Saccharomyces cerevisiae S288C: one gene and its partners. Changing the gene in region 1 together with any one later gene gives a genetic interaction. Each region holds a gene or a part of one and is shown in the gene's direction. Other genes may lie near its edges.

What was found.
Region 2: mutations in SDD1 (region 1) and STL1 together harm fitness more than expected from each alone (negative genetic interaction), as found in Saccharomyces cerevisiae (one large-scale study listed by BioGRID).
Region 3: mutations in SDD1 (region 1) and YOR008C-A together harm fitness less than expected from each alone (positive genetic interaction), as found in Saccharomyces cerevisiae (one large-scale study listed by BioGRID).

The regions. Positions count from the first base shown.
Region 1 is NC_001137.3:44,065-47,523, reverse strand, and holds SDD1 (Sdd1p), read left to right. Parts: upstream 1-1,802; coding exon 1,803-2,504; downstream 2,505-3,459. Other genes in the region: HAT2 (Hat2p), read right to left, coding at 1-356; phosphoacetylglucosamine mutase PCM1, read right to left, coding at 2,599-3,459. UniProt on the Saccharomyces cerevisiae protein: Acts as an endogenous target of the ribosome quality control (RQC) pathway. During translation, the nascent chain has a propensity to stall ribosomes, thereby stimulating activation of the RQC pathway.
Region 2 is NC_001136.10:1,506,265-1,510,590, forward strand, and holds STL1 (glucose-inactivated glycerol proton symporter STL1), read left to right. Parts: upstream 1-1,740; coding exon 1,741-3,450; downstream 3,451-4,326.
Region 3 is NC_001147.6:341,981-345,053, reverse strand, and holds YOR008C-A (uncharacterized protein), read left to right. Parts: upstream 1-1,972; coding exon 1,973-2,197; downstream 2,198-3,073. Other genes in the region: TIR4 (Tir4p), read right to left, coding at 1-719; SLG1 (Slg1p), read left to right, coding at 2,640-3,073.

The DNA.
Region 1 (3,459 bases):
TCTTCGTGCTCATATTTAGCGGTAATCCTTATATTTGACCTAGGAGCAGGTAGAGAGGACTGATACTCCTCTCCTGCTTCTTCTTGTGGGTCTTCATTACTAAGAATTTCCTTTGGTAGATTAATTTCTGCGAATTTCAAATAGTTTTCTTCTTCACCAGAAGTGTGCGTACCGATGATTAATTCTTGTTTAATAAAGCCACCATCTAATTCTTGAACAGGAGTAGGGAGCCATTGGACGGTTAAAGATGGCCATGTTAAACGTGTCTCGCTAACAAAGTCATACATTAATGGAACATTGGATTTCCATAAATCGTACTCCTCGTCTACAGAAAGCGGTTTCTCTTGGTTTTCCATAGTTGATTGGTAATTTGCTATTTGGTGACTACTAGGCTAACCACAATTGATAGGAGAGATAAGAGAGGCAGAAGTATTAGAGGCATAGTAACGTCTTTCTAGTTATTCTCCATTATTATTTTCAAGGTTTGTCTTTGTCATGTCGACGAATGCCAGTGAAAACATCCGTACACCTCACAAATTGTTATTTTGAACAGAACAGACGAGCTACTCATCAAGTATCAAATAGACTGAACAAATGACCTAATCTTTCTAGATTACTCCAAAAGAAAAAGCTGAAAGGAAACCGGTTAAAAACATGAAAGCTTTCTGTAGGGAAGTTTTTTCCTCGCTCTGCTCCTGAGCCTACAGGAGCATGGAAATGGTTGAAAGGACCGAGGAAGAAAGGGAGCATGTCAAATAGAACAAGAGGAAAAAAAAGGTGAAAACAGCTATTTTAAGCAGCAGAAGTTTGAGTCAGAAATGCCTACAATATATGAGAATTTCTTCGCACATGGTTTAAAAAAACTAAATAATCCGCGTGATAACGTTCTCACCAGATTATGAAATCAAATAACAATGCCCCACCTGTATATTGCGATTGACGTAAACGGTAATAAATGTAAAATTTAACATAAAAAAGGGTAAAGAAAACAAACTTTTTCAGGGGTCATCCCTTTTTGTTTTCTTTTTCATTCTTATAAATCAAGAGTATTTTATCGGTAGACAGTTTAGCCGCCGATTTTGTACCGCAGTCCAATATTAGTAAATGTTGGGCACCACTTTGAACATACCGACTCATTGAGACTGCAAGAGCAATTATTTTATATTCTTCTTGAGGCGCCGTTAAAGAGAGAATGAACACGACAATTATCTACAGCATGCAATCGTGGTCAGAATTCTAACTTTTTGTCTTATAAATGCGCACGTATTATTTTCATTTATGTATATATAGATAAATCAGAGCATTGAGTAGTAAAACTGAAGGCTCAAGAGTTCTGATACGCGATGAGAATTCGTGCAGTTAGGATGTCAATTTTGCCAAAATTGGGACGGGCGGCTGCCGTCCGGGGATTCCATGAAGAGAGTGGAAAAAAAAGTGTCACTAACTTCCCACAGGTATCCCCGACACCCTATCCTGCGCTAAGAAAGCCAATCGGCTGAATGTGCAATTGATTGACGTTGAAGGAAAAGAAAAAAAGGAGAAAATTGGGGCGATAATAACAATCACAAACGTCTTCCACTTTTTATCAAATGTTGCGGGAAGAAATAAGGGTAAAATGCCTTGTGTAGGTTCATACATATATAAATAAGTAAGGAAGTTAAAAGAAACCCTTCAAAATGTAACCTACATCATGCGTAGGCTTAATATTAAGCGGAGAAAATCGGCAAGCCCAAGCTTATATTCATATTATGGAATACAAAAGGCGAAAAAGAAAATTGACTAGTAACTAAATTGAAAATTAAATGGCAAATGATGGGATTCAGAGGAATGACAACAGAAAGGGTTTTAAAACTGTACAGTTCTCGGCTTATTCTAAAGAAATTGACGTCATAATGAAAAAAATATCATTCTTGGAAAGAAACATTACCCAACAACTAGATACTCTTCCTCATTTTCCAAAAACCTTACCACCAAATCACAAAGATTGTGTAAGTAGAAAGCACAGGGCCAGGCGAGGTTGGAGTAGTCAGCTGAAAAACTTGCTAGGCATTTACTCCAAAGAGGAAATTTTTACTCTGGATAATTTAGCTGCAACACTGCATGATCAAGTTTTAAAGTTACAAGCTACACTTTTTCCCAATGCCATACTGAAACAGGTTCATCTCGACAATGCCAACATAGAAAACAAGAGAATTCTGAAGGAAATTACATATAAATACCTTTCCAACGAAAACTGTAAAGAGGAGAACAAATTCGGAACATTCATCGTAAAGAGAATTTTTTTTGGTGACTTATCACTCGGGGTTTCCGTGTTAATCAACCGTATTGCTTTCGAATCGGCCACATCATCCATTATGGTAGTGAGAAGTTCATTTATTGAAAGTGATTTCTTTTATGAAGATTATTTGATTTTCGATTGCAGAGCGAAACGACGAAAAAAATTGAAGAGGAAAATTTTGTTTATTTCCACTACCATGAATTTCAATTACCAAACCAAAGTCTAAGCCTGTAACAAACGTTGATTGATACCAATATTTTTTCTCTTTCATTTATCTCTCTGTATATCTAAATAGCTATACTATACATCGAATAATGCTTTCAAGCAGATGCCTTAACGTGCTCCACCACTTCGTCACAAAATTGACCTAACTTAGAGGAGTCCTTACATTCCGCATAAACCCTCACCGCATCCTCCGTACCACTGGCTCTGACAAAGCTTCTTCCCATGGGATACTTGGCTACCACAAGATCTATCTTGTCTTGCAACCCCACTGGATTGAGCAATTTTCTTTCCTGGTCCGTGGTTTGGAAAATTGACCTATCAGGAACGATGCACTTAACCAGCTTGTTGGGCAAATCAGTATACTCTTCATCCCAATCCATTGGCGACATTTTCAAAATCGCCAAAGTAGCAAGGACAGCAAGCATGTCTGAAATAGCATCTCCCACGGTCTGATTAATCAATTCAGAGAAACACTTCAAAGTTCTCAAAGCTAACGTATCACCATTTAACTTGGACTTGGATAATTCAGATTTGATAGTTCGATGAAATTTTTCGCTGAATATAATCGTACCATGTCCATTTGCTTCGAAATAAATGCCAATATCGTACTGAGTGGCAGCTTCATGATGCAAGTGTTTAACACCTGTCTTAGTGCAAGACACGGGACAGTGCAACGTATTTTTTATGTAAGCGGTGGAACTGCCGTTTGCATAGGCAGTTTGCACAACACCAATCTTCAAAGAATGTTCTAGGTGTGCCAATTCTAGTTGTTTAGACAAGAACTTTGCAAACAAAGTGGAAATTTTGTCACCATCCAACAAATGAAATTTTGATCCTGAGTCGACATAGTAGAACACAACCCTGTCTGCGTCACCATCAAAGGAGCAATATAGCGAATCAAACGAGGATGGAGAAAGACCCTTGGGTAATCTCTGGTTAGTCTTCACATAATCCGC
Region 2 (4,326 bases), on another chromosome or scaffold:
AAAATTTTTATTATGGTGCTAATACACCATACTATTTCTGAGGCAACACCAAAGAAGGGTCCGAGAGTTCTTAGGCAGTAAAAAAGTTACACAGCCTCAGAAGACAGGGATCATGCAGTAAAAAAAAAAGCTCGATAATTTCATCGATCAATTGACCAGCCAATTTATTCTTATACCCTTATTTCTACCGATATAAACAGTTGGATAAACGGACAGGTTGAAGTGCAACGTTATTCAATGGTGACAGTTGCTTCTGGACTAAGAAAGGCTAGACCATGTGCCAGAAGTGCAGAAAAATGAAAGCAGAGAGCAAATAAAAAAACTCGACAAACATCGGAATATCAACCAGACAATAGCAAGTGGACACAATGAAATAAAAATCTCACAGGCAAAAACGCACTTAAGGTGACGTAGATGCGTCCATCATTTAAACACGATACCAACATTATCTGATGTTTCAATGTTGAAAACTGACATTCAAATATTCCGCAACCAGCGGACGAACTGAAGGAGCAGGCGACTACAATGCGCAGGGCGATTGGCGCGGTAACTTTGCCATGATCAAATATTTGTGTAGCGCTTTGTTCACTATCGAACTTTCTAAATGAGTTAAGGAAGAGAAGAAAAACAATATGATACCGCAAATACGTATTCTCACCTAAAATGGCAAGGCAAAGCTTCGCCGAGGAATTCAGCCCGAGAGTAGAAAATTTACTAATGTGGTCTCGCGTGTGAATCAGCAATGATTCTGAAATACTCCTTTTACAACCTTTGCAAAGATAATGTCTTTCAGTCTGATATTACGAGCGACCTAGAACCACTAATCCATATTCTTCATTCAACTTACTCCATTTTCCTTGGCAAACAATGCCCCACAATCATATACGTCATAACTATAAGGGATATGTCTGGAATGCGGCCAAGATAGAATTAAAGGGCTGCAGAACACCACTACTGATACTCATTGCCAAGGCTAGGAGGCACCATCCGTTTCATTTTCTTTGAGGTAAGCCAATCATGAAATAGTATACACATCCATAACGGACGTACGGACGAAATAAGTGCCGTTGTCCCACTATTCCACCGCATTTGGCCCATTTGGCTCACTTTGACTCAACTTGCGTCATTTTAACTGATATGAAGGGTCCGACTTTGTCCTTTTTCGGCCACCGCATACCCCACGGCGATGCCTCCGCTACCTGCATTTGAGTAGCATCTCCGTTTCGCGGGGTATTCGGCGCTACGTCGCCTGTTCGAGCGGCTCTGTTCGTTGCATGAAACTAAAATAAGCGGAAAGTGTCCAGCCATCCACTACGTCAGAAAGAAATAATGGTTGTACACTGTTTCTCGGCTATATACCGTTTTTGGTTGGTTAATCCTCGCCAGGTGCAGCTATTGCGCTTGGCTGCTTCGCGATAGTAGTAATCTGAGAAAGTGCAGATCCCGGTAAGGGAAACACTTTTGGTTCACCTTTGATAGGGCTTTCATTGGGGCATTCGTAACAAAAAGGAAGTAGATAGAGAAATTGAGAAAGCTTAAGTGAGATGTTTTAGCTTCAATTTTGTCCCCTTCAACGCTGCTTGGCCTTAGAGGGTCAGAATTGCAGTTCAGGAGTAGTCACACTCATAGTATATAAACAAGCCCTTTATTGATTTTGAATAATTATTTTGTATACGTGTTCTAGCATACAAGTTAGAATAAATAAAAAATAGAAAAATAGAACATAGAAAGTTTTAGACCATGAAGGATTTAAAATTATCGAATTTCAAAGGCAAATTTATAAGCAGAACCAGTCACTGGGGACTTACGGGTAAGAAGTTGCGGTATTTCATCACTATCGCATCTATGACGGGCTTCTCCCTGTTTGGATACGACCAAGGGTTGATGGCAAGTCTAATTACTGGTAAACAGTTCAACTATGAATTTCCAGCAACCAAAGAAAATGGCGATCATGACAGACACGCAACTGTAGTGCAGGGCGCTACAACCTCCTGTTATGAATTAGGTTGTTTCGCAGGTTCTCTATTCGTTATGTTCTGCGGTGAAAGAATTGGTAGAAAACCATTAATCCTGATGGGTTCCGTAATAACCATCATTGGTGCCGTTATTTCTACATGCGCATTTCGTGGTTACTGGGCATTAGGCCAGTTTATCATCGGAAGAGTCGTCACCGGTGTTGGAACAGGGTTGAATACATCTACTATTCCCGTTTGGCAATCAGAAATGTCAAAAGCTGAAAATAGAGGGTTGCTGGTCAATTTAGAAGGTTCCACAATTGCTTTTGGTACTATGATTGCTTATTGGATTGATTTTGGGTTGTCTTATACCAACAGTTCTGTTCAGTGGAGATTCCCCGTGTCAATGCAAATCGTTTTTGCTCTCTTCCTGCTTGCTTTCATGATTAAACTACCTGAATCGCCACGTTGGCTGATTTCTCAAAGTCGAACAGAAGAAGCTCGCTACTTGGTAGGAACACTAGACGACGCGGATCCAAATGATGAGGAAGTTATAACAGAAGTTGCTATGCTTCACGATGCTGTTAACAGGACCAAACACGAGAAACATTCACTGTCAAGTTTGTTCTCCAGAGGCAGGTCCCAAAATCTTCAGAGGGCTTTGATTGCAGCTTCAACGCAATTTTTCCAGCAATTTACTGGTTGTAACGCTGCCATATACTACTCTACTGTATTATTCAACAAAACAATTAAATTAGACTATAGATTATCAATGATCATAGGTGGGGTCTTCGCAACAATCTACGCCTTATCTACTATTGGTTCATTTTTTCTAATTGAAAAGCTAGGTAGACGTAAGCTGTTTTTATTAGGTGCCACAGGTCAAGCAGTTTCATTCACAATTACATTTGCATGCTTGGTCAAAGAAAATAAAGAAAACGCAAGAGGTGCTGCCGTCGGCTTATTTTTGTTCATTACATTCTTTGGTTTGTCTTTGCTATCATTACCATGGATATACCCACCAGAAATTGCATCAATGAAAGTTCGTGCATCAACAAACGCTTTCTCCACATGTACTAATTGGTTGTGTAACTTTGCGGTTGTCATGTTCACCCCAATATTTATTGGACAGTCCGGTTGGGGTTGCTACTTATTTTTTGCTGTTATGAATTATTTATACATTCCAGTTATCTTCTTTTTCTACCCTGAAACCGCCGGAAGAAGTTTGGAGGAAATCGACATCATCTTTGCTAAAGCATACGAGGATGGCACTCAACCATGGAGAGTTGCTAACCATTTGCCCAAGTTATCCCTACAAGAAGTCGAAGATCATGCCAATGCATTGGGCTCTTATGACGACGAAATGGAAAAAGAGGACTTTGGTGAAGATAGAGTAGAAGACACCTATAACCAAATTAACGGCGATAATTCGTCTAGTTCTTCAAACATCAAAAATGAAGATACAGTGAACGATAAAGCAAATTTTGAGGGTTGATTCACACACAACTCACAAATCATATTTTGTAATTTACTTAAGAAAGCATTTTGCGGGGTTTATATTTGTTCCTTGCCGCACCAATAATATTCATATATTACTACATAACTTTAGTATTTTAACACCAGACGATCTGTCTTTTGAGGAAATATGTCCACTTTCATTTTCTTCCGCTTGCCGGCAATGCCTATAAAAAGCTTATAAAATAGCCCGACTCCGTAGTCTTAATATTTATTTAAGTACAATAATAGTCCCACAAAAATTTTTAAAACATCTTTATTGATAACGTGGACGTGTTATTACATTGGAGCGAATGATGACGGAAGTAGGAAAATCTGAATACTAAGGTGAAGATATTTTAGCAGGGTGCCGCCATGGATGTTCTATGAATGTCTTCCTTCCTTTTCTCTCATGGGACACCGCAAAAACCTGTTCTACCATCATTTAACTGCAACATACAAAAAGCCACCAACTTTCGAACACTGCAAATGGTGCTATTCTCTTTTTGCGGTCTTGCCATGATATTCTTCTTGCAAAAAGGGTTTTAGAGCAAGATTTCAAATTAGCCATGAATATCATGCATCGCTTAGAGCAGTAAGATTTTACCAGAGCTTTACAGGACCTATTTTTCATACGTTATGCACTTCATTCTTCTTGTCGGTTTGATAACAGCAGAATCTAGTTCCTTTAATTTGAACGTTAGCCCGGCAGAAGCCATACCTCGAAAACGCAGCAGCGCTTCATAGGCATATCAAAAACAGGGCAAGGGACACCATACATCACCTAGTGCTGTTACTTATAACCAACTTGACAACGATTGCACAAGAAAAGAGTATATCTGTGAAGACAGCCAAAACGCTTAACATGTTATGACAT
Region 3 (3,073 bases), on another chromosome or scaffold:
GAGGATGAAGCAACGGAAGAGCTGACAACTTCACTTGAGGATGGTGCAACGGAAGAGCTGACAACTTCACTTGAGGATGGCGCAACAGAGGAGCTGGCAACTTCACTTGAGGATGAAGCAACGGAAGAGCTGACAACTTCACTTGAGGATGGCGCAACAGAGGAGCTGGCAACTTCACTTGAGGATGAAGCAACGGAAGAGCTGACAACTTCACTTGAGGATGGTGCAACGGAAGAGCTGACAACTTCACTTGAGGATGGTGCAACGGAAGAGCTGACAACTTCACTTGAGGATGGTGCAACAGAAGAGCTAGTGGATGAAGCAATAGAAGAGCTAGCAACTTCACTTGAAGATGTGGCAGCAGAACTTGAGGTAGTTAGAGAAGCATCCATTGCTTCTAATTCTGGAAGCAGTCTAGAAGAGTACCATGGGACCATAGTCAACATATGCTCAACAGCAGAAAAGTCCACTTCAGAGTACAAAGTGGTGTAGGAGTCATCACTTGGATTTGCAACCAATTGCGCAGCAATATCCATAATACCAGCTGGCATTTGGTCCAAGGAAAAACCTGAATTTGGAGTGTAGGATAGGGTGATGTAGTCGGCAATGTTGGTCTTAACATCATCTAAAACAACGTTCAATTCGTTGATTTGTGCTTGGGTTTGAGCGTAAGCAATAGCAGCAAGAGCGGCTAGTAATGTGATTTTAGAGTAAGCCATATTTTTTATGGTATTAATAAGCGAGTGAATAGGTTTTTGTTGCTGGTTTCTATCAGAACAAGAGTAGGGAACGAGATAAGTAAACGGGCTAAAAACTGATCTGTCCTAGCGATCCTTCCCTTTTTATATTCGAAAGCTTGGGATCATATCTTACTGCGTGGAAAACAAAGAATTTGCATCCTCCCTTTTGGACTATCCTACTTGTTAGAAATGCATCGTTTAGGAACCCTGTTCTATTATTTTCCGTCATTTTTTGAGAATTTCCATTCCTTCTAAAAGTGGCAGATGGGTTGTTACGAGATTTTTACTGATAATTCGCGCGCAGCGTCGCCTCTCCGCGAGTTTCAGTGTAAGCTATTGTTGAAAAGTACTTCGTTTGCCTTTTTAAGTTGCCTTTGGTTGCCATTGTTGTATCTTCAGGGTTTTCTTCGGATCACATCAGCTGTGAGAGTACGGTTAAGTTTGGAAGTCACAACTCGATTATGCCAGTTCGTAAGTGAGCACTAGATGACCTTGCTTTCCCCGTACGAGCCGGTTACGGTAGCAACTTTTGTTTTCCTTGCGCGGAGTGTATGCCTATTCTGATCTTTAAATTTCCTGAAGTGTCTGTCGTGCGCCGTAAACGAATTATTACACACACACGAATCTGGGAAACCGTGAACCCCATACATTGTCTTTTTTTTTTCACAGTCCCTTATCAGTACCGTTTGGCTAACAAAAGCATAAAATATTGTTCGTTCAGATGACCCCTTCAGTACACCGCGTTTACAGTTTCAAAGTTCCTTTTAGAATAGCACCCTGTTCGCCGGCGGATAATTTGCACGCCGTATGAAGGAAGAACATATAAAAACGCAAAATATGAGGCATAAACAATCACAATATCCTCACCTTAGAAGTTAGCCGTAGCGGTTTTCTTGCGCGTGCTTGTTTCTTTTCTTAGTTCTAAGCTTCAGCAAACCCATCCACAATCTTTCTTCAAGAACTTTATCGTGTCTACTTCATAACAACCTGCTAAACAGATTGTGAAATCGTTCCTGCTCAAGCAAGTAGTTTATGATAAATCGTCTTGTAATAGCTCGGCAAAACAACATCATATATGAAAGTGTTTCAAGTTTTTTGCCTAGTAGCAGACTGGAAATTCCACCACCTCTCTTCCAGACTTCGGTTTACATAAGAACTTAATGGTGTGTAATTTTTTTACATACTTCTGGAAGCAGATATCATCGGCCCCCAAAGTCGCCTTCTGCAAAATAATGTGGAGATCTTATCTTGTTTTTCTCTTCTTTATGACACCAAGGATACAAACATATTGTCCTGTACCGGTACTAAGGTCAATGGCAGTATTAAATATTATCTCTCCGCTTATAATTTTTGTCAGTCCTATTAAAAAGCAAGACAGTTTACACAGCAGCGCTTGTTACGCAAATTTGACGTTAGTGGAAAAGCTGCAACTTTGGCATTCTATGTCAAACGATTAGTAATATAGTTGACTACTTTCGTAGAATTCCTTCCTCAAGAAAAATTTTCTCCGCCTTTCCTCTCTGAAGATGGAAATAACGCTGCATGGGGAAGAAAATAATGTAATTTTCGAAGCGAAAGCGAGAGAAACGGAGGGGAAAAATAAAAGTGTTTGGCGTATCATAGCCTCATTTGGAAGAATTTAACGCAGTGTAGTTTTCTTGGACGATACAGTAAACTCGACCAGGCACTAACATTACAGAAAATCTCGTATTGATATTGTTATTGCTTAAAGGGTAATCAAGGTAAACAAGAAAGAAGCTCCTCGTTGTCCGTAAATTTTTTAATAAGGAGAGAGAAAAAGAGAGATAACCAAGAGGAGAAAAAGGAATCTGCATCACATTTATTCAGGATAGTACGTTGGCTGATTTAGTACTCAGGATAAAAAATTCTATTTAAATAATGAGACCGAACAAAACAAGTCTGCTTCTGGCGTTATTATCCATTTTATCGCAAGCGAACGCCTATGAATACGTGAATTGTTTTAGCTCACTACCCTCTGACTTTTCAAAGGCCGATTCATATAACTGGCAGTCGAGTTCACACTGTAACAGTGAGTGTAGCGCAAAAGGTGCAAGCTACTTTGCCCTTTATAATCATTCAGAATGTTATTGTGGTGATACTAATCCATCTGGTTCGGAATCTACTTCCTCTTCATGTAATACGTATTGCTTTGGTTACAGCAGTGAGATGTGTGGTGGTGAAGATGCCTATTCTGTGTACCAACTTGACTCTGACACAAATAGCAATAGCATAAGCAGCTCAGATTCAAGTACGGAGTCTACTTCTGCGTCGTCTTCCACAACTTCTTCAACAACGTCCTCCACAACATCAAC